Tribolium castaneum: one gene and its partners. The main gene of each other region encodes a partner of the protein of the gene in region 3 in a complex. Links are inferred from orthologs where the notes say so. Each region holds a gene or a part of one and is shown on either strand. Other genes may lie near its edges.

The links.
Region 1: mitochondrial import inner membrane translocase subunit Tim21 (region 3) and COX assembly mitochondrial protein homolog share a complex: the UniProt entries of both Homo sapiens proteins name them as parts of the MITRAC (mitochondrial translation regulation assembly intermediate of cytochrome c oxidase complex) complex. The link is inferred for Tribolium castaneum from reciprocal best matches to the Homo sapiens genes TIMM21 and CMC1.
Region 2: mitochondrial import inner membrane translocase subunit Tim21 (region 3) and mitochondrial import inner membrane translocase subunit TIM50-C share a complex: the UniProt entries of both Homo sapiens proteins name them as parts of the TIM23 complex. The link is inferred for Tribolium castaneum from reciprocal best matches to the Homo sapiens genes TIMM21 and TIMM50.
Region 4: mitochondrial import inner membrane translocase subunit Tim21 (region 3) and mitochondrial import inner membrane translocase subunit Tim23 share a complex: the UniProt entries of both Homo sapiens proteins name them as parts of the TIM23 complex. The link is inferred for Tribolium castaneum from reciprocal best matches to the Homo sapiens genes TIMM21 and TIMM23.
Region 5: mitochondrial import inner membrane translocase subunit Tim21 (region 3) and Surf1 share a complex: the UniProt entries of both Homo sapiens proteins name them as parts of the MITRAC (mitochondrial translation regulation assembly intermediate of cytochrome c oxidase complex) complex. The link is inferred for Tribolium castaneum from reciprocal best matches to the Homo sapiens genes TIMM21 and SURF1.

What each region holds. Positions count from the first base shown.
Region 1 is NC_087399.1:7,831,187-7,834,542, forward strand, and holds COX assembly mitochondrial protein homolog, read right to left. Parts: upstream 1,654-3,356; 5' UTR 1,586-1,653; coding exon 1,519-1,585; intron 1,383-1,518; coding exon 1,069-1,382; 3' UTR 1,038-1,068; downstream 1-1,037. Other genes in the region: Tsen2 (tRNA-splicing endonuclease subunit Sen2), read left to right, coding at 1-62, 909-1,037; Rpn11 (26S proteasome non-ATPase regulatory subunit 14), read left to right, coding at 1,688-1,865, 1,914-2,671. UniProt on the Homo sapiens protein: Component of the MITRAC (mitochondrial translation regulation assembly intermediate of cytochrome c oxidase complex) complex, that regulates cytochrome c oxidase assembly.
Region 2 is NC_087399.1:10,216,742-10,220,818, reverse strand, and holds mitochondrial import inner membrane translocase subunit TIM50-C, read left to right. Parts: upstream 1-1,846; 5' UTR 1,847-2,020; coding exon 2,021-3,142; 3' UTR 3,143-3,203; downstream 3,204-4,077. UniProt on the Homo sapiens protein: Essential component of the TIM23 complex, a complex that mediates the translocation of transit peptide-containing proteins across the mitochondrial inner membrane. Has some phosphatase activity in vitro; however such activity may not be relevant in vivo.
Region 3 is NC_087398.1:6,904,114-6,908,315, reverse strand, and holds mitochondrial import inner membrane translocase subunit Tim21, read right to left. Parts: upstream 2,618-4,202; 5' UTR 2,421-2,617; intron 2,373-2,420; 5' UTR 2,369-2,372; coding exon 1,877-2,368; intron 1,824-1,876; coding exon 1,788-1,823; intron 1,120-1,787; coding exon 1,015-1,119; 3' UTR 983-1,014; downstream 1-982. Other genes in the region: transmembrane protein 231, read left to right, coding at 49-218, 269-397, 450-675, 723-982; solute carrier family 66 member 2, read left to right, coding at 2,773-2,975, 3,028-3,164, 3,362-3,427. UniProt on the Homo sapiens protein: Participates in the translocation of transit peptide-containing proteins across the mitochondrial inner membrane.
Region 4 is NC_087394.1:25,694,433-25,698,297, forward strand, and holds mitochondrial import inner membrane translocase subunit Tim23, read right to left. Parts: upstream 2,237-3,865; 5' UTR 2,114-2,236; coding exon 2,050-2,113; intron 1,999-2,049; coding exon 1,758-1,998; intron 1,712-1,757; coding exon 1,430-1,711; intron 1,384-1,429; coding exon of another isoform or gene 1,374-1,383; exon of another isoform or gene 1,112-1,373; intron 1,082-1,111; coding exon 1,072-1,081; 3' UTR 954-1,071; downstream 1-953. Other genes in the region: centrosomal protein 43, read left to right, coding at 3,842-3,865. UniProt on the Homo sapiens protein: Essential component of the TIM23 complex, a complex that mediates the translocation of transit peptide-containing proteins across the mitochondrial inner membrane.
Region 5 is NC_087394.1:36,916,094-36,919,759, reverse strand, and holds Surf1 (surfeit locus protein 1), read right to left. Parts: upstream 1,782-3,666; 5' UTR 1,725-1,781; coding exon 1,572-1,724; intron 1,523-1,571; coding exon 1,401-1,522; intron 1,353-1,400; coding exon 773-1,352; 3' UTR 760-772; downstream 1-759. Other genes in the region: pins (G-protein-signaling modulator 2), read left to right, coding at 49-133; breast cancer type 2 susceptibility protein homolog, read left to right, coding at 2,702-3,666. UniProt on the Homo sapiens protein: Component of the MITRAC (mitochondrial translation regulation assembly intermediate of cytochrome c oxidase complex) complex, that regulates cytochrome c oxidase assembly.

The DNA of each region.
Region 1 (3,356 bases), on a different chromosome or scaffold from region 3:
GACGTTCCATGAGAAAAACCCACCTGATGGGGTTGAACCGGTTGTGTGAAACGGCCCGGAAAGTGAGTAAAATTCGAATGCGGGTAAAGTGCACAGTTATTGGACAGTTAGCAAAAATCTCAACTAAAAAAATAATTATACCCTTTTCAGAGTAAAGATACAGATAATTTTTATTTATTTATTGCAAAAATTATAGTTATTGGACGCCGGAACTAGTTATTGGACAGGGATCTAATGACCAAAATAGTTATTTGTTGTATAATTTCCAACAAAATTTCAAATCCAATCTAATACTTAATTAATAATTCACGTCACTCATCTCAATCACGATCACTCTAGTCATTTTGTTCTTTAGTTTTTTATTCTTTGTGTTCCGAATCTTTTCTTTTTTTCTTCTTCTTCTTTAGTTTTGTCACTTTCTGCTTCTATTTCTTCCTCACTGGCATATATTAACTTATCCAGCTAATATTCACTGTTGTCATCCTTATAACAGAGACTTTATCTTTATTATTAGCATTTCTCAGCACTTGTACAGAAAAATCGAGAGTACATTGCCAGTAATAGCAGATATTTTGCGATACACTGCTACAACTTCAAACAGATAATTTTTTTGAGTTATTGGATTTAGTGGCAAACTATAACAGTATAGTAAACAAAAAATTGACCGGTGAAGACCAAGTTTTTGCTACATTTGCAATGAAAAAAGTTTTAAATGAAATATTAGTCTCATTGAAAAAATTAAACTCTGAAAGTCACGACCGTTCTGCTGAAGCTGTTTTATATTTCAAAGAAACACAATAGAAGAAATAGTTTGCGCGTTATGTCATAGCAATATGAAATCAAGAGACCTTATTTATCCCTGTCCAATAACTGTGCAGTTGTGCACATCACCCTATTGTTTTTTTAAGGAACTGCTGATTTGCGAGATTGTGTGCCCCGGTGTTTCCCCCGACTCAATCCCCTTCAACGAGATTGGCAAGTTTACGATCAAGGAAACAATAATGAAGCGGTGGACCCCCCAAATGGACCAAAATTAATTTATTACTACTTAGTTACTACAAAAAAAAATTACATGGAAGTTGCCATTCTTTGTTTCTGTTTTTGCGTAACTCCCGTCCTCCTGTATTCACTCCTTTCGTTTAAATACTCCTCCTTGCACCGATTTTTAAAATCTTCATCTTCATACCAACGAGTCAGACATTCTTTCAGTGCTGCGTTCTCTTTACGACACATGAAAGTCATCAAAATGTTGTTATTTTTGCAACATTCGGTGAATTTCTCGACGGCATCGGTGCATTTTTCGTCTCGTGCAATCTCGCGCATTTTTTTCGGGATCATAACGTCGATCTCAACCCTTCGCAGTGTGCGGTCGTTGGGGTCCCCTGAAACCAATTCAAATTAACCGCCTTTTGTTGCGTTTGGTTGCTCGGTCGGTAACTGATACGTCCCGGTCAACAGAGTCAAAGAAGGTGCTTTCGCACTCGAATTTACTCAATTGAACAATAGTGCCGTTCTTACCCAGTCCGTGGGGCCCACTTGCGTACTTCTCGTGCAGGAGATTCTTTTTTTGCGCGTCGTTTGCCATCGCAGAGAGTTACAATACCGGTATGTCAACTGTCGGATGTCATTCAAACGTCATGATTTGCAATTTTTGACAGAATCTTGAATTTGTGTTTAGTTGAGTAAAATGGATCGTTTGCTTCGTTTGGGTGGCGGAATGCCGGGCCTGTCTCAGGCGCCCCCTCCGTCGGACGCCCCCGTGGTGGACACGGCCGAGCAAGTGTACATCTCGTCGTTGGCCCTTTTGAAGATGTTGAAGCATGGCCGGGCTGGGGTCCCCATGGAAGTCATGGGCCTGATGTTGGGTGAGTTCCATCATGACTTTGCACAATCAATTTTACCGAAAACTTCAGGTGAATTCGTTGATGACTACACCGTGAGGGTGATCGACGTGTTCGCGATGCCCCAGACCGGGACTGGGGTCAGTGTGGAGGCCGTGGACCCCGTCTTCCAGGCCAAAATGCTGGACATGTTGCGCCAAACGGGCCGCCCGGAGATGGTCGTCGGGTGGTACCACTCCCATCCCGGGTTCGGGTGCTGGCTGTCGGGGGTGGATATCAACACCCAGCAGTCGTTTGAAGCCCTGAGTGAGCGGGCGGTGGCCGTGGTCGTGGACCCCATCCAGTCAGTCAAGGGCAAAGTCGTCATCGATGCCTTTAGGTTAATCAACCCGAATATGATGGTCCTGGGGCAGGAGCCCCGCCAGACGACGTCCAATTTGGGGCACTTGCAGAAGCCGTCAGTTCAAGCGCTGATTCACGGTTTGAACAGACACTACTACTCTATTAGTATAAACTACCGGAAGAATGAATTAGAGCAAAAGATGTTACTCAATCTGCATAAGAAGTCGTGGATGGATGGCTTAATCCTCGCAGATTATAAAAATAATTGCGGGATTAATGAAAAAACAGTCGCTGATGTTTTAGAATTGGCCAAAAATTATAACAAGGCGCTGGAGGAAGAGGAGAAGATGACGCCGGAGCAGTTGGCGATTAAAAATGTCGGGAAACAGGATCCGAAACGGCATCTTGAGGAGAAAGTTGATTTGTTGATGACTAATAATATTGTACAGTGTTTAGGGGCGATGTTGGACACGGTTGCGTTTAAATGAATTTTTCTCAAACTTGTCATCAATTGAATTGTGTTTTATAACTTATTTTAAATCAGGATTTTTTCTAATTAAACGATTTACAATTCGGTGTTTTTTATTTTTATACGCTACTGTCATTCACCTCCATATAACAAACCAATTCTTATCTAAATAAATCAGTTAAAAAAGTCGGTGAATAAGCTGTTAAATTCTACCAAAACAATGCCTTGTGAAGTCTGTAAGTGAGGATACGGATGTTTTAAAGACTACTTACTTCAGTTTAGAAAAATCAAGAAAAGATGAACGCGAAAACAAAATATTATTTTCTAAAAAAGAATGAATCTAAAAATATTTCAGAGATTTGGACAGCAACATGCACCTCTATATTTCAGATACAAAAAAAATAGTTAAGCAATCTAGCAACAAATCAGTGAATCAGACAAACCACTTTGTTCGCGCCTTTGTAACGATTACTTAATACAGTGTAACCTCCTGAACGGACACCCCTTCACAACGGACATTTTTGTAGGAACGTAACAAAACCTCCCATTAGCGGACACCTCTCCAAACGGACAATTAAAGGTTTTTATTTTAGAGAGTAACAAAAGTTCTAATACGATGTGCTGAAGACTAAATATCATCTAAATACAAAGTTTTAATTGACAAGTCAGAGCTATGTTTAATTTGAAAAATCACAACAACCCAG
Region 2 (4,077 bases), on a different chromosome or scaffold from region 3:
TTCGTGGCACTTGACGGTGTTGTCGAAGTGCACATGTAAATTAATGTTCAAGGATACCACCCTTAGATAGCCCTTAGCTGTTTAAATTTGCATTATTTTTGATAATTTTTTATAGCTTTATGTTGGTAATGAAAAAATGAAATTGATGACGCACACGCAAATCGAGCTGACCGCCACTATAGCAACGTTTTCTTTGTACACCATTAAATTTTTATTATGATTACCCCAAACCGCACGGACCCTTCAAGCTAATCACTGAGGCAAGCTTATTGTGTGATTTATTGCAGACAAGTTGTACTCTTTCAGAGGAACTAATCGGTATCGTAAATATTTTCGGGTCACCCTTGTCAAGACAGCTTATTGTGAGGGTTGCTTATGCTAAACACCATTATCTGTTGTAAAACTTTATGGTGTACAAACAAAATGTTGCTACAATAATTTAAGACGATACGTAACGAAAAGAACCCTTAACATATTGCTTCCCTTTCTCTCAGGCTCGACCATATTTTATCTAATATCTCTAAAACTACTTATCGTAAGAGAAAAGTGAAGGCTAATTTGGGATCCTAAAACAATTTTACGTTTAATATAAATTTTCGATTATTGTGATCTTGATGTTTTTTTTATTAACACAAACACGATTAAAAAGAATGACACCATTATCAACCGTACCGGATAGTCAAAGTACGACTAAAATCTTTTAAATCATGAATTTGGACAAACAGCTTGGTTTACAAAACTGTCCAAGTAATTTGCACAATATGCAGTTGGTTTATAAACTAGCCAAACATACACATTAACCATATCATATCAAAAGATTTGTGGCTACGCTTTTAGGGGTGTCATTCTTTTTAATCGTGACTGTACGTATCACGTATACATGGTGATCCCGCACAGCTTCGTCTTCTATATCTCATTTAATATTAAAGTTGGACTTTTGATATTTTGTAGGCGTTATTTATGCTGTAGGACGTATTTCAGGAAAACATTTTCATGTGACATACGTTGGTATGTAACATTTACTTACCGCCCACGGACTGTAAGTAAAATGTTACTGCAAGGTAACGATGTAAACTTACAGCAGACTAAAAAGTGCCGATTACAATGAAAGATATTTGTCAGTGAACGATGACTTACAAAACAGTAGGTATTGCAAAAAATTAATAATAAATAAGAAATGATGCTTTCTTGATGACTTTATTAGTATGTAGGTCTTAAACAAGGTCTAACTGAGGCTAGATGCACTAATCAAGTTGGATTGATCTAAATTATACAGGGTGTTTGCAATATATTTCCAAACTTTTTGATTAATATTTATGTTTTTATTTATTTTTGGTAGAAAAATAAAATCTACTTACAAAAAGGTAGACAAATTTTAAATCGTCGAAGAGTTTACAATAAACGTCGAAAATAGAAAATAACATACCGATCTCTTTCTTTAGATTTACAGACTGATCCAGAAATACTGAGTCTGTTGGCAACACTGGACTTAAATTTTTAAGGATACCAATGGAGTACTCTTCTAGTTAACAACAATCTTGTAGGGTTGTACGTCAAATAATTGTCAAAAAAAATCGAATTCGGTTGCAATGTTGCAATTTATGAGTACAAATACTTCCAAATGTGTTGCCAACAGACTCAGTATTTCTGGATCAGTCTGTAGCTCATTTCACAAGTGAGATTTTTTTGGAAAATGTATACATAAACAATTTTGTCTTTTTTAATTTTCCAAATTAGTCGCTTTTTCCAGGAAATTAAATTAAATACATCGAAAATGACTATTTTTGAATTTTTTTTAATTGAATTCAATTCAAAAAGACAAAAAACACACTACGTGCCACTGCTACCAACACAATTTCGTTTAATTCAACCATGCCAAAAAAATTATAAATGGTTCCGTAGCCCCAGTGCAAAGTCCCATCGTGCAGGTTTTTATCATTTTATGTAACAAAACCCCCGGTGGAATTTTTCCCCACGATTTGAACCGCAACGTGTTTGACAGTTGCATCCTAACCTCAAAATGTACAGATCTACTTTTAGAACTTTGAACGTGTTTAGTAATTTATTTCGACACAAAACCTCCCTAATTCTCACACGGAACGGCCCCCGAGTGCTGTTCAAGTCACCACTAGTCATAATTCAACATCGGAATTACGCCGAAGATGCAAAAAAGCAGCCGGTCAAGTCGCCCCTCGGTAGTCTCATAGCCAAAGAAACGAACGAGAAAGCAAATTCGGAGGAAGAAGAAGCAAGAAAACAGCGAGAGGCGTCATGGCGAACAATGAAACTCACACTAATCTTCTTCGGAGTGTCTTTCACGTGTTTGGGTTCGTACTTGATTTTTGTCTTGGGGGCTCCGGAAAGAGACAGAGAGGGGCGCGTGATCGAAGACGACTTGTCGCACTTGCCGCTGTGGCGCCAGTATTTAATGAGAACGTACCGGGAGTTGGATAATTACAGGAGGTTGATTAAGGAGCCCTCCAGGGACAAGTTATTGCCAGACCCCCTTCAGTACCCCTATTTACAACCTAAATATACTCTTGTCTTGGAACTGACCGATGTTCTGGTGCACCCCGATTGGACTTACAACACTGGTTGGAGGTTCAAGAAGAGGCCAGGTTTAGATTACTTTCTTGAGTCTCTTCATGGACATTTCGAAATTGTTGTCTACACGGCGGAGCAAGGAATGACGGTTTTTCCCCTGATTGAGGCCATGGACCCCAAAAACCTCATCTCGTACAAGCTGGTGAGAGACGCGACGCACTTCGTAGGCGGGCACCATGTCAAAAGTCTGGACAAATTGAACCGGGATTTGAGTAAAGTTATTGTAGTGGATTGGAATCCGAATAGTGTGCAGTTCCATCCGGAGAATCTTTTGAAAGTCAGGAGATGGGAAGGGGCTGATGAGGACTTGTCTTTGGTTGATTTATCGATCTTTTTGAAGACGATAGTTGATAATAATATTGAAGATGTTAGAGAGGTTTTACTGTATTATAGCAAATATGACGATCCGATTGAAGCATTTCGAGAGAAACAGAAAAAGTTGATGGAGCTTTTGGAGGCACAAGGGGCGAAGAAAAAAGAACAGGAAGCTAAACCGAGACCGTGGGTGCCGACGATTTTCTCAAGGAAGCAGTTCTAGTTAGATTAATTTAAGGCTTGTAATTATTTCGGTAAAAATTAAAGTTTGATATGTAAATAAAGCGGGTGTTTTATTTTTCTTATACATAAAACCCTATTGATCAAGACAAAAAAATTCTTGGCCCAAAATTTGTCGTTGGTATTTAATTTAACACAGAACTCTTTTCTTATGATACTCTCAATTTGTGCTTTATATCACTTCGAAAAATTTAAATGTACTGTTGCAAAATTCTACTATGAACTGAAATGGGATATACACTATGTTCCGTCTAAACTCCACATTAGAAGTACTGAAAGTTCTAATAAAGATATTCATCTGGAAGTTGGTACTCAACCATAATCGGTTGAGTTCTTTTCAATAAAAATATTTTTAAGATGCCGGCACTTCCGGTTATACCAGAAGTTGGTATCAACTTTCTTATTTTAAAAGCTGTTTTTCACTGCGTTTTTGGATTAGTTGAGTTATTTAAAGGCCGTTTTTATCAGCTTTTCCTATACCTGACTTTAACCGTTTTCGGGATATTTAAGATTCCTTGAAAAATTTTGGTTTTGCTTAAAAAATCGGTAACTTTCTTTGTTTTAAAGATTTCGAAATCATATTTGGAGAATTAAAAGAGAAAGCAGTTATTTGTTTTCCAGTGTGTTCAAAGTAATTTAATAAACCCAAAAAATTTAAAGTTAAGTTTGAACAAATACTATTAAGAATAATCTGACGTTTCGTATTGAAAAATGTCGAACATTTGTCAAAAATGCCTTATGCATTTTATTTATTTAGTTTCTTTTCAACAGACTTTGTACTTTCAATGAGAGAGCTAATCGTTAATAACTATTTCATATTTTTTTAATGTTATTTAAAAATAAGTATTAGCTGCGATTGATGTTTGAACTAGTTCAGGATCGCTACTGCGAACAAAGCGATTATTGTTTCCCAAATTT
Region 3 (4,202 bases):
AAGAAATTAATTTTAATAAATTAGATAGTTCTGATAGCAAATTTTCAGGCTTGTGGTTAAAAAGAGACACTTTTTATGAACAACCGGATGTAAAATTTCGAGGAGAATACATTTTTGTTGCTACTACGAATAATTACAATAAGTCTGTTATAACGTGTAGTAATTTACCCCACTTTGATAATGTATTGCGGCCTTTAGATACTTGTTCAGTCATCAAGGTTTTTTTTTTCAGTTTTGTAACTATTAATTTACATATTGTGCCTTTTAGGTTCGTGAAACTGACAGAAATTTTGATGGTAAAACAGAAGAATTAGATTTGTCTCTCCAAGTTAATCTTCCAGTTAATACTCACCTCACGTCTTTTTGCATAATCATTCCATTTAATTATAAATTACAAGTAAGAAATTCGAATGTGTTCTTTTTTCTATATTTCTGTTTTTTTCCAATAGGTTTGTCCTCTTGAAATGCAGACTGCCATTATTTTTCAAGAATTGTTACCATTTTATATATCGAAGTATTCATTGGTGGCTAATGTGGTTGTGACCCAAACTAGCCCCTTAATTTGCCACAGAAAAAACACCAATACGTTATTTAATTATCCTGTGATTGTGGATAATGGGGATTTAAATAACTATGACATAAATACCATTATCACAAACTTTTCAAAGAGAAACAGTATAAGTTAAAGAATCTACAAAGCAATAACTAACATATTTTTTCAGTATCCACATCATTGAGAGACGTCTATAAAAGTTTTTCTCCTGGAAAAACTCAAAATTTCGTATTAAACTTAAATATAGAATTTCCAGAAGACAGGATATACTACAAGCCGGGCTTTTGGCAAGTACTGAAGTGGGCCTGGATCCAGTACCTCTCACTTTACATAATAATCTCATGGATAATTGCAAAAATAAAGCACTATATTTTTAGCAGGAGATTAATACTGTTTTTTGAAGAAAATCCGGTGAAGAAAAAACAATAAAAATTTAACAAACTTTATTATCATCGTTTTATTTACAACGTCAAGTCTAGTGGCTCTGAAGACGAACTAGAAGACGAAACTGCGTTCCTGTTGTCTTCCAGAACAATTGCTGTTTGTAGGAGATCGTCCACTTGAACCAGGGTGGTGAAACCTAAATGCACCAAGCCAAGTATAGGCGCCAAATTCAAAATCGACTGTAGTTCGGCTTGCTATCGCAGATGTCGCACACACGTATAGTCAATTTTAGCGAAGCTACCTATAATATCGGCAGAAATTAACAGTGGACCTGTGACAGTTGCCATTGTGTAAATCGCCATTTTGTGCTTGGTTTGTTTGGTGTTCGCCCTCGGCTTTGTTTTATGTGAAATTAGTACTGTTTTGTGGTTTTTTTCGTGTGTGTGCTTTTTTGAACTTTTTTATTGTGGGAATATAAATAATTTGATGGATCAATCATTAGTTTATAGTTATCGTATCGTGTATATTGACTAGTGATAATAAATTTTTATTACAAGTTTATTGTCTTTATTTATTCTCATATTTTATTTTTCGTATTCTTTGTAAATATTCAGCAACAATAGTTGTCTAACATCAGAAAGTGTTATTAGCAACTATTGTTGTGAATATTTACAAACAATACGAAAAATGCAATCAAACTTTAAAAGAAAAGTAACTACGGGCAATTCAAATCGCCCGCCGATAACGCTTAGTACGCGCTGGCAACAATAGATGTGCTAGTGACACTTTCGCTCTATCCGGACAAGGACAGATGCGTTTCTGTAAAACCTGTTATTCTGTGCACTTGAACAAATAAGTACCGATATTCATATTTCCCCGAATCATTCTAAAAAAAAGTAATAAAAAACTGACAGGATGGCTTACAATTGCAAAACGCACCTCCACCATCTCCAGTTGCACAGTCCCTTGGTGGAAACTCCCTTTTAAATAAAACTTCATCCTCAAACACTGCCTTCCATCTCTGTTATAAATCACATGACTGACATGTTGTCGTCTCCTCCTCGTTGTTTCGGCCCCAAAGGCCGTAATCGGAAGTCCGAGTTTATCCTGGATTCGGGGATCAGCCTTACACCTCTCAACTGCCTTAGAATACACATTATTGGGGCTTTTACTCGAGAACAACTCATTGAAAACTGCATAAAACAGTGAGCCTGTCACCCCCACGCCCAGCAAGATTATGCCTAAATAGGAAGCAGTCTTTGTCGTTTCTTTCACTTTTTCGCCTAGTTTTACATTAGTATCAACCTCGCTCCTCACTGTTTTGCTGAGGGCCTGTCGGCTTTTGCCGCGCTTGATTTGGTTGGATATGGGGTTGTAAAACAGCAATAACCGGCACCTACATACTGGGTTAACGAGCCGGGACGTGATCATCTTGCTGCAATAAATCTATTGCGTAAAAGAGCAGAAATAATTATTTTTATACCTTTTTCAATGACATGAAGCATAACCTATCCACACCGATGACATATGTGTCTACGGTTACGCGATAAAAAATTGGAAAAAAAAGTTAATGTGCGCCTTAGGTCACAAATTGTCTAATTGGGAAAAAAAACTAGCGATTGTGGCAATTGCAAAAACTGCCGATTTGTGTCAAAAGAGGGGTCGTTTTTTATTTGTAATTAAATTTGGGGCGCGCCGGCGCGTCACCTTCGCCACCGTAGCCCATTTAACTTGACATTTTTAGTTGACATTTGACAGTTGAGTGAACACAGTGGTAATAAAGATGGGCAACAGCAAATAAAAAGGCATTTGCTTGTTGTTAAGTAGTTAGAAGCATGGATTGGGTGATATCGGACGAGTTGTCCCTGACGGTGGGAACAGTGGTCGGCTGGGTCAGCGCTGGTGCTATGATTATAGGAGGTGTCATCCCCTACATCCCCCAGTACAGACAAATCAGAAAGACACAAGATGCTGAGGGCTTTTCGCTGCTAGTTTGCTTGGCCCTTCTGGTGGCCAACACCTTACGTATCATGTTTTGGTAAGAGCTGCTCTGCTCTGAGTAAAGTCATACTTGAATCTTGGGCTTTTAGGTTCGGCAGACACTTTGAGTACCCCCTTTTGATCCAAAGCATAATCATGAACGTCACAATGTTCATTATGATACACTTATGTGTTCGTGTGAGGAATAGGAATCAGCTTATGCAAGCCAGACAGCGGATATTTACAGGTATGGATTTTTGCAGGGGTTATTTTTAGAAAAACAATCAATATCCAAATAAATCTGAGATAATTGGCTCCTCAATGTTACAGAAATGCGATTTATGGTAAATGATTATTTTTTTATCCTGTTTTGCGCACACCTGTATTTTTAATTTTTACTATTAGCGTTACAAAATTCGAATAATAAATTTTTATTTTTGACAGCTAAACCCAGTGAAGTCGTCAGATTGTTAAAATCTAAGCCTCCCCGCTCTTCTCACAATATTTGTGGTAATTGCTTGCACGCCTCGCTTTTGCTTTCAGTACTAACAACGATTTAAAGTACTGCCAAGTTAGCACAAGTTTTTTTGTTAACTCTAGCAGTTAGCGTTATCAAAGACCCTTCTTCAGCAGTAATTAGAGTTTGTTGGCATTACTTTAGTCAGCATGATAAATCTTTTCTATTTCTATCATTGAACCCATATTTAACATGGATTTCTATTTCTTATCTCTACTAAGGTCATTAGAGTCAAATTATTTAATCAGAGAATAAATAAAAGTAGTACTATCTTCGCTTCTAATACTCTTATCGAATTTGACGACCCACGTTTTGTTACATTATTTTATTCATTGACGCCAAATGTTACGTAATGAATGGTAGGTGTGTAAGTCATTTTTTATTTAGTTTGAAGCCTATTATAAACAAAACTTAGATAATAGTTACGTATCCTCGAAATTTGTAATCTCTTAATTCAATTGTTGCATTGTTACGACGAAATCGCGATTAATTTTAAAACTGCCTACCAATATTTATTTCGCCAAATTAGTTTCGTTATTACGGCTTTTTGTGGTTTAAAACAAATTGTCTCGACTTGTACTCCAAGAATAAAGTTTCAAAAATAATTGGAAATACGGACTTTAAATGCTGTACGATTTGGAGCGACTTGTTAGCTATTATTTTACAAAACTTGTCAAGGTTTTTATTTCCTACAAATAGATTTTTTTTTAAATACATAATTGTATTTTTTGTTAAGAATAATATGAGTTAAAAGCAAATTTGCACTTG
Region 4 (3,865 bases), on a different chromosome or scaffold from region 3:
GTGTGTTGCACCAGTTGTATATTCTTTCAAATTCCACCGTAGGAGTGTTTTTAACGCTTTTTATAGAACTTTGCGCGCTCAATTGAAACAACTGTTATACCGTAACAATATTAAAATCTAAGTCTGAACTACCAAGAACTAAAACTTTTAGTTTGATATTTTCATTTTTTTATTTGTTGAAATTATACAGCGTGCTCAAAAACTGGCGCACCAACTCAATGGTGTGTGGTAGAGAATTGGTAACATATAAAGGTAAAAATAGTAAAAAAATTCTTTGTATTAAAGTTATTGATAAATAATGGATTTTATATAAATGATATGTGGCAACGTTGTCTAATAGTCATGATCGCAATAGAATTTGAGCAACAATAAAAATAAATTATTTTTGAAACGGTTTCCTAGGAAATAATTCCCAGTGTTGGCACATCTACACATTGTGATTTTTGGATGAATTTTAATTTTTTTAAATTAAAAAAACTGCTAAAATCTGATAGTAAATTTAAAAATAATTATTCATCGTTTTGTTACGGAACGATTACCTGGTATGAAACATAAAAACATAAAAAAATAATGAAAACTAAAGAAGTTAACACAATAAGTTTGTAGCTCCAGATTTTTTAAAATATAACTTTGGGAATTTTTTCAACATTTTTCCCGTAATCTGCACTTGCTTCTCAATAACGTACCACTGAGTTGGTGCGCCAGTTTTTGAGCACCTGTAGAACTGGGAGATTAAAACATGCAACCCTCCTACGTAATAGATTTTGATGTATTCTTTACAATAGAACAAGACTATCTCGTAGCTGATTTAGTTTCGCCGTAATCAGCGTTTTAAAACAAATTTATTATAGTAGTAAAAAACTAAAACTACTCTTTTTTTTAATTTTTGATGTTAAGAAATCGCTGAAATTTTGTAAATGCCGGCCACTGTTAACGCAAATAATTCAAGCTACTTAAAACGTGAATAAATTTATTAAATAACTTACAATATTTTCGCATAATTTGGAAATGTATTTACACTTATCTACAGTCTTGGTTAAAACCAGAGGGTTAAAACGGTTTCCTGGCTCGCTACCGTTGCCTGCAGAAAAATAATGAATTAAAAATAAGCTTCGAAAAAGAATAGTTGCAATTTTTATTACATATGTAACAATGGTAGATCACAGCACAAATTATATACAAACGATAAGTTGATAGAAAGTATAAAAAAAGTGGTAAAAATCGTTTTTATAACTTTCTATATCCTACCAAAAATTGGCTTGTCCAATCTAAATAATGACAATTTATTGGTAACACAAGCGCTCTACTATGTAGATAAATTGTACTATCTATGGAAATTGTTAAAATAATTTAGTTGTCTAGCCAATCAGTACTTAAGTTAACCTAAAACCTATGTTAAAATTCGTTTCTAAAACAAACAGAATCTTACGCCGGATTGAGTGGCCTCAACTGTGTGAATTTATCTCGCGAATTCCAGAGGGCGTACAAAACAGAGGCTCCTAATCCCACAGCCCCACCTAAGCCACATTTCCTTAAGCCAGCTGTGGACTTGTACAAACAACCAGTTGCCGTGGCTGCAATAATAGTGTTAAGATCGTCATCAGCCCCCCGTGCCCACGAGAGGAAAACGCCAAACGCTGAATAAATCACAGCTATGGACCCGAACGTGTTGGCTGTGGCACTGCCTTGTTTCATAACATGATTCAATAACCTACAATTACAATCAGTGAAAAACACTACCAATTGAAGAAACTCACTGTGTCCGTCTTAATTTCCCCGTTTGTCCTGCCAAAGTGGTCGCTTTCAAGCCGTTATAAAACCCGGAGGCGCCCCCCACCGAGGCCCCAATCATGCAAGAGCCCCCGATTTGGCCAAAGGCTAGCTCGAATCGCCCCCGTTGTTTGCTAGCCCCTTCGAGGAAGATGAACTCGGGTTGGGCTTGAGGCAGGTAACTGGGGTCAAAGTTGAGGTATGGTGACGAGAATTGTTTGTAAGATCCTGGAATTGGGTTTATATAATCGGGGTTTGAGGTTATGTCGGGGTTTTTACCTAAATTGCCGCTTGTGGTGTTGTAATTTTGGGAATAAATGTCGGTATCATTCAAGGCTGACATTTTTTGAGCACTGACACAGGAAATTTTCGAGTTTTTGGCCGAAATTTGGTAATTTGATTGTTACACACACACACATGCGACACGAAGGTCGAGAAAATGTCGGAAGGGGTAAATACAGGACGGATCTTGAGGGGATAAAGAAAAATTTTCGCGCATAAAATGGTTACTTTTTGTTGCTCATACTTGCAGTATTCGTGTTTTTTTTTTAATTACGGCCGTTTAGTTGAAATTTGGGGTAAAATAATTTTGGAAACCTACTCACAGGACGCAATCATTGTTTCTTTGGTAGAATCGGTTAAATCTAGAAATGTCATAAACAGAAACATATTTGTCGGATTTTTAGGAGCAGAAATTTTTAGTCTACTATTATTAAATTACCTCTATTAAAAATGGACTTCTCATGACTAACATTTTAATAAAAAAAGAGCATTTAATCGTTTATAATTTAATATAGGAACTCAATTTATACTACAGCACAAATTTATTTTGTGAGGCATTACATGCAAGTATGTAATATGTGCTTGACAGGTGACTGTTAGAAATGTAATACACGTAAACTTATATTTGAATTGGTGCAATCTCTATCACAGTGGCATATTATCTAAAACTTAGTAACAAATAAAATACTGGTTAATGATTTTTTTATATTCTTACAATTTTAAACAAATATCGAATATATTACTATTCCGTGCATTTTTTGTAATGAGGATGTGCGTTTTTAATAATTTACGGTTACGTCTTTCTTGTGCGTTTCTGTCTATGACTTGTTCAATGAGTGCACTTTTCTTGAGAGTAAAAACAGGACAGATCTTGTACTGCAAAGCTGAATTTTCGTACACGAATCTTTGCTGTTTGTACTTCCAACATTTAGATTTTTAATATTGCGGCCACTTAGTAAAAATTTAAGTTAAAATAATTTCGGCAAACTAATCACAGGACGTAAGCATTGTCACGAAATTGTAAAAATTAATTGAACTTTTTGAACGTTTGGACCTTTGGACGTAAATCAATCACAAATTATCTTGTAATTATGGCGAGACTTTATCGAGCTATTTTTAATTTTCAATCAGGTATTTAAAATTTGTTGACATGTGTCAAAATGCGACAGTTTGGCGGTTGGTGTAAGGGGCTATAACACCGAAAACATTTAACTGATCGAATTTTTGATGAGTTCAACTAATAATTTGTCGGATAAAAAGCCGCTATTTGGCATAAGCGTGTCAAGTTTCAAAATGCACACCGAGACATCTTCAAATTTTTCCGGGCGGCTGCAGCCCCACCAAGATGAGCTCCAATTATTAGGCGAATTGGCAGGTGTTCACATGGATGTAAAAGTTTTCAGGTATTTTTTCCTGAAACCTGAAATATCAACAAACCAGTAATCGTCAACATGTTGTAGGATTTTGGTCGAATTCTTGAACTTGGGGGTAGCCCCGAATACGATTTTTTCGGTCTTGAAGAGCATAAGGCGGTCGCCGTCAAGACGGCTATCACATTCGGCACATCACTGACTTGTAAATTTAATAATAAAAAAATTGAGCTGAGGTGTTTGTTTGGTGTCCGCTGGTTTAAAAATGACGTTTGACAAGTGACAGGTGATTGAAATGGGGGTTGAGGGAACGCAATTTTTTTTCATTTAGGTCTTGTTTTCTGTTGTTTTAATGAAATTGCTCAGTTGTTTGTGCTGTGATTGACAATTCGTTGCAAACCGTGTGTTTAAGTGGGAAAATGTCAGTTGAGGAAGAAGTGGAA
Region 5 (3,666 bases), on a different chromosome or scaffold from region 3:
TTTGCCAACTGTGTAACAAAAAAAATTATGTTGGATTATTTGTTGCAGAATGGCCAATGGTAACGTCCCGCATGCAACAAATGGTATTAGTAATAATTTTAAAAGCAATTCTTCGGGCAAGAAGAAGAAGTAATACGAATAAGTTAGAGTAAGTAAATTTGAAAACCCCATATCTGAATTTTTTATTTCGATTGACTGCCATTGGAGCATGTACGATAAAAAGAGAAAATCTAACGTAAAGTATATGTTATTTTATAATTTTATATATTTTTATATATGTTTAGTAAATAATATTGATGTATCTATTTCTTATTTTAACATATTCGAATTTATTATGTAATGGATTATCGAAATCAATTTTTGGTAAAGTTTATTGCTCTCTGTTTTTTTTTAACTATTTTCTCGTTCACTTAGGACCAAACATGCTCTATTAAAACACACTGTTACGATTACCTGAAATTTGTTGCCACATTGTATTATTGCGCCTAAAGTATTAAATGTGCAAAGTGCCAAATAAACGTTGTGACTGTGGCGACAGATTCTCTGCATGTCCCATCTCGAAATTTCTCTCTGTCCAATTGAATGCTTTACACATTGTTGACTAGACAAATGTTTGCCAAAGATGTTTCAAATATCCACACGTTTAATTAATAGACTGTTGAATTTCTTCCTCTTTTTATGAAAGATTTATATGAGAAAATTCATGTGTTACAAGCTGTTATTTACATGGTACAAAGTAGGAAAATAAATTTTATCAGCGAATTTTTCACATTTATTTAACCCGACTTAAGAATTGTTTGTACCACAGGTAAGACGTCGCTGCGCTTAAACTATACCACGTGAGAATATATGACAAGTGTTCGTTGCGTAAAGTGACCCGAGTTTGCCCCCCAATGGGGCCCTCAGAAGTATCAAAATCAGTAGTGGCTTCCAGAAGCACAGGAAGCGCTCCTGTAACCTTGGCCATTTGATTCAAATCGCGATAAAACCATTGGTTGCTGCCTTCCTGGTTTTTTGGTATGAAAGTGGGGCGATTTTCCTGAAGACGTACTATACCAACAACATCAACAACCCCCTTCACCTGTCCCTTGTCCCTTGTCGCTGGATTTTTGCACTTGGAAGGTACCCAACCCCGATTTATTAAAATCGTTTCATTCCGATCAGCTAATTTAAACGGTGTAATGACTAAAAAACCCTGGTTTTGCTTTGTTGTGGTCGACATGAGTTGACTTTTAGTTGCCGAATCGCCTTTTAAAATTAAAGTTCTGGGGCCTAAATATAACTCTTTGTCGTGGAGAAACTCGCCCCGGACGTGAACCGGCCGATATTCCAACTTTTCCAACTCATTTAAACTACAAGACATTTTGTTATTTGTGTAATTGACTTAGAAATGTACGGACTCGGTTGGTAATTGCACGGGATCAGCCTCAGTCAAGTTATGTAATTTTGCGATTAAATCCTCTTTCCATTTTTTACGTTGCACTTGCCATGTCCCAAGTGCGAAAGTTGAGGCTGGGATGACCTAAAATTGCCTGGTTAAGGTAAAATTGGGTGAAACCCAGTGACCTGACCAGGAGGAACCAACCCAAAGGGCCGATTTGTTTGGCTTGGCTCTTTGGGGTGACAAACTTTGAATGTGCATTAGAATACGAAACTTTGGTGAAATACACGCAACAACGTTTATTAAACGTTGAAAACTGTTTTAAATTTCGGACTAAGAACATTTTTTGTTGGGTTATGTTGACACAGTCAGAGGTGCCAACATCTCACGTCGCAATCATTTATTTCAATTATTGGCCCCAATGAAATACTGTTTTAGTAAAAGGGGCCTCATTGTAATACAATTGTTCGTTATTTTTCTTTGGAATTTATTTTTTTTATTTAAAAAAATTAATTTTTGTCATAAACAGCTTAGCTAACCTTTGACCAAAAGTTCCTAGTGTTTGCAACTGTTGGTGTGTAATGGCGGCGTTTGCTGTTTTTAAAAAAGCAAAAAAGTGAGTTTTTTCCACAATTTGTGCTTAAACCACATTTGGTTGTTTAAATAATCGTTATTTGTTGAATGCGTTGATCAATTTTTGGTAAATTTGTGGAAATTTAATGTTCCAATCTCAAAATGAACGATCGGCGTTTCTTAAGCAAATTGCGTTGCAATTGTTTTATTTCAACGTTTTTGCCCCATTGGTAAATGGGGTCTCACTTTAGCGAAATTGTTTATTTTTATTTGGAATTGAAATGTTTATTTTCATTTGGAATTGCGTTTTTATCTGAAAATTTAATTTTTGCTAAAACAGCTTAGTCAACTTTGATCAAAAGTTTCTAGTGTTTGAAATGAACTGGCGACGTTTACTGCTTGTAAGAAGAAAAAAGTGAGTGTTTTTTTACAATTTTTACTTAAATCACCTTTGGTTGCTTTAATAATTGGTTTTCCAATTATATAGTACTTTCGTTTGGAATTTCTTTTTTATTTGAAAAATCTTTTTTCAAAAACGGTTGTGCCAACGTTTGGCTGAAAGTCCCTAACGTTTGAAATTGTTGATGTGTAATGGCGGTGTTTACTGTTTGTAAAAAATAAAAATGTGAGTGTTTTTTTCTACGATTTGTGCTTGAATAAGTTTTGGTTGCTTTAATAGTTGGTGTTTGTTGAAAACGTTAGTGAATTTTGGGCAAGTTTGTGAAAATTCGGTTTTCCAACCTCAAAATGGAAGACCGGCCTTTATCACCTATTCTAAGCACTCAAATATCACGCAAATGGATTAGAAGCAAGAGATCACAGAAAAAAAGTCGGGTTAATTTGACGAACCGGTTTCTGGACGCGTCTTCCAGCAATGTTTTAACCCCAAGCCAAACCGAAAACTTTTTGGAAAGTATAGAAAAAGACTGGAGTTTGGATAAAAATTCTGATGATGTGTTGAAAAGAGCCGAAATTTTGACTCCTCCCCAAGGTTTTAATTGTAAAAATGAACCCAACAAAGTTGATAATCAAGGTTTCAAAGCGTCTGATGAAGCCTTGAAAAAGGCCAGAACGTTGTTTGACGACATGCTAAATCCTGAAGGTTGTAACAAGGAATTAAGTACTGGTTTTGCAGGTTTTAAAACAGCTTCAGGAAAAAATTCCTTAAGATCCGAAAATGCAGTCAAAGAAGCTAGGAATAGGAACAGTAATGAGGGAACTACCACAAGTTTTGTCGGTTTTAAAACAGCTTCAGGGAAAAGTTCCCTAATGTCTAAGAGTGCAATCAAACAAGCTAGGAATAAATTAAGCGAAGATTTTAATACGAAAATTTCGGAATATAACGCAAGTTTTTCGGGTTTTAAGACAGCTTCAGGGAAATGTACAGTAATGTCCGAAAGAGCAATCAACCAGGCCAGGAATAAATTAAACGAGAATTTTAATTTTGAAGACGTTAAAAATGCGAAAAAATCAGATTTGAGTGACGAGTTCAGAGGTTTTAGTCAAGATATGATTGAGAAAAATCGGAAAAAACTTGACGAATTTCGCTCGATTGTAACACAATTTAACAAAGGTGTAAAAAAAGAAAAAAACTTAGAAACCGTTCGGGAATTTCCTAAAAATAGGGGCTTCCAATCAGTGAATTTATCAAAAGACAGGCTGGAAAAAGCGCGTCAATTGTTCCAAGGTCTGGACGATTCGTTTGGTCGCAA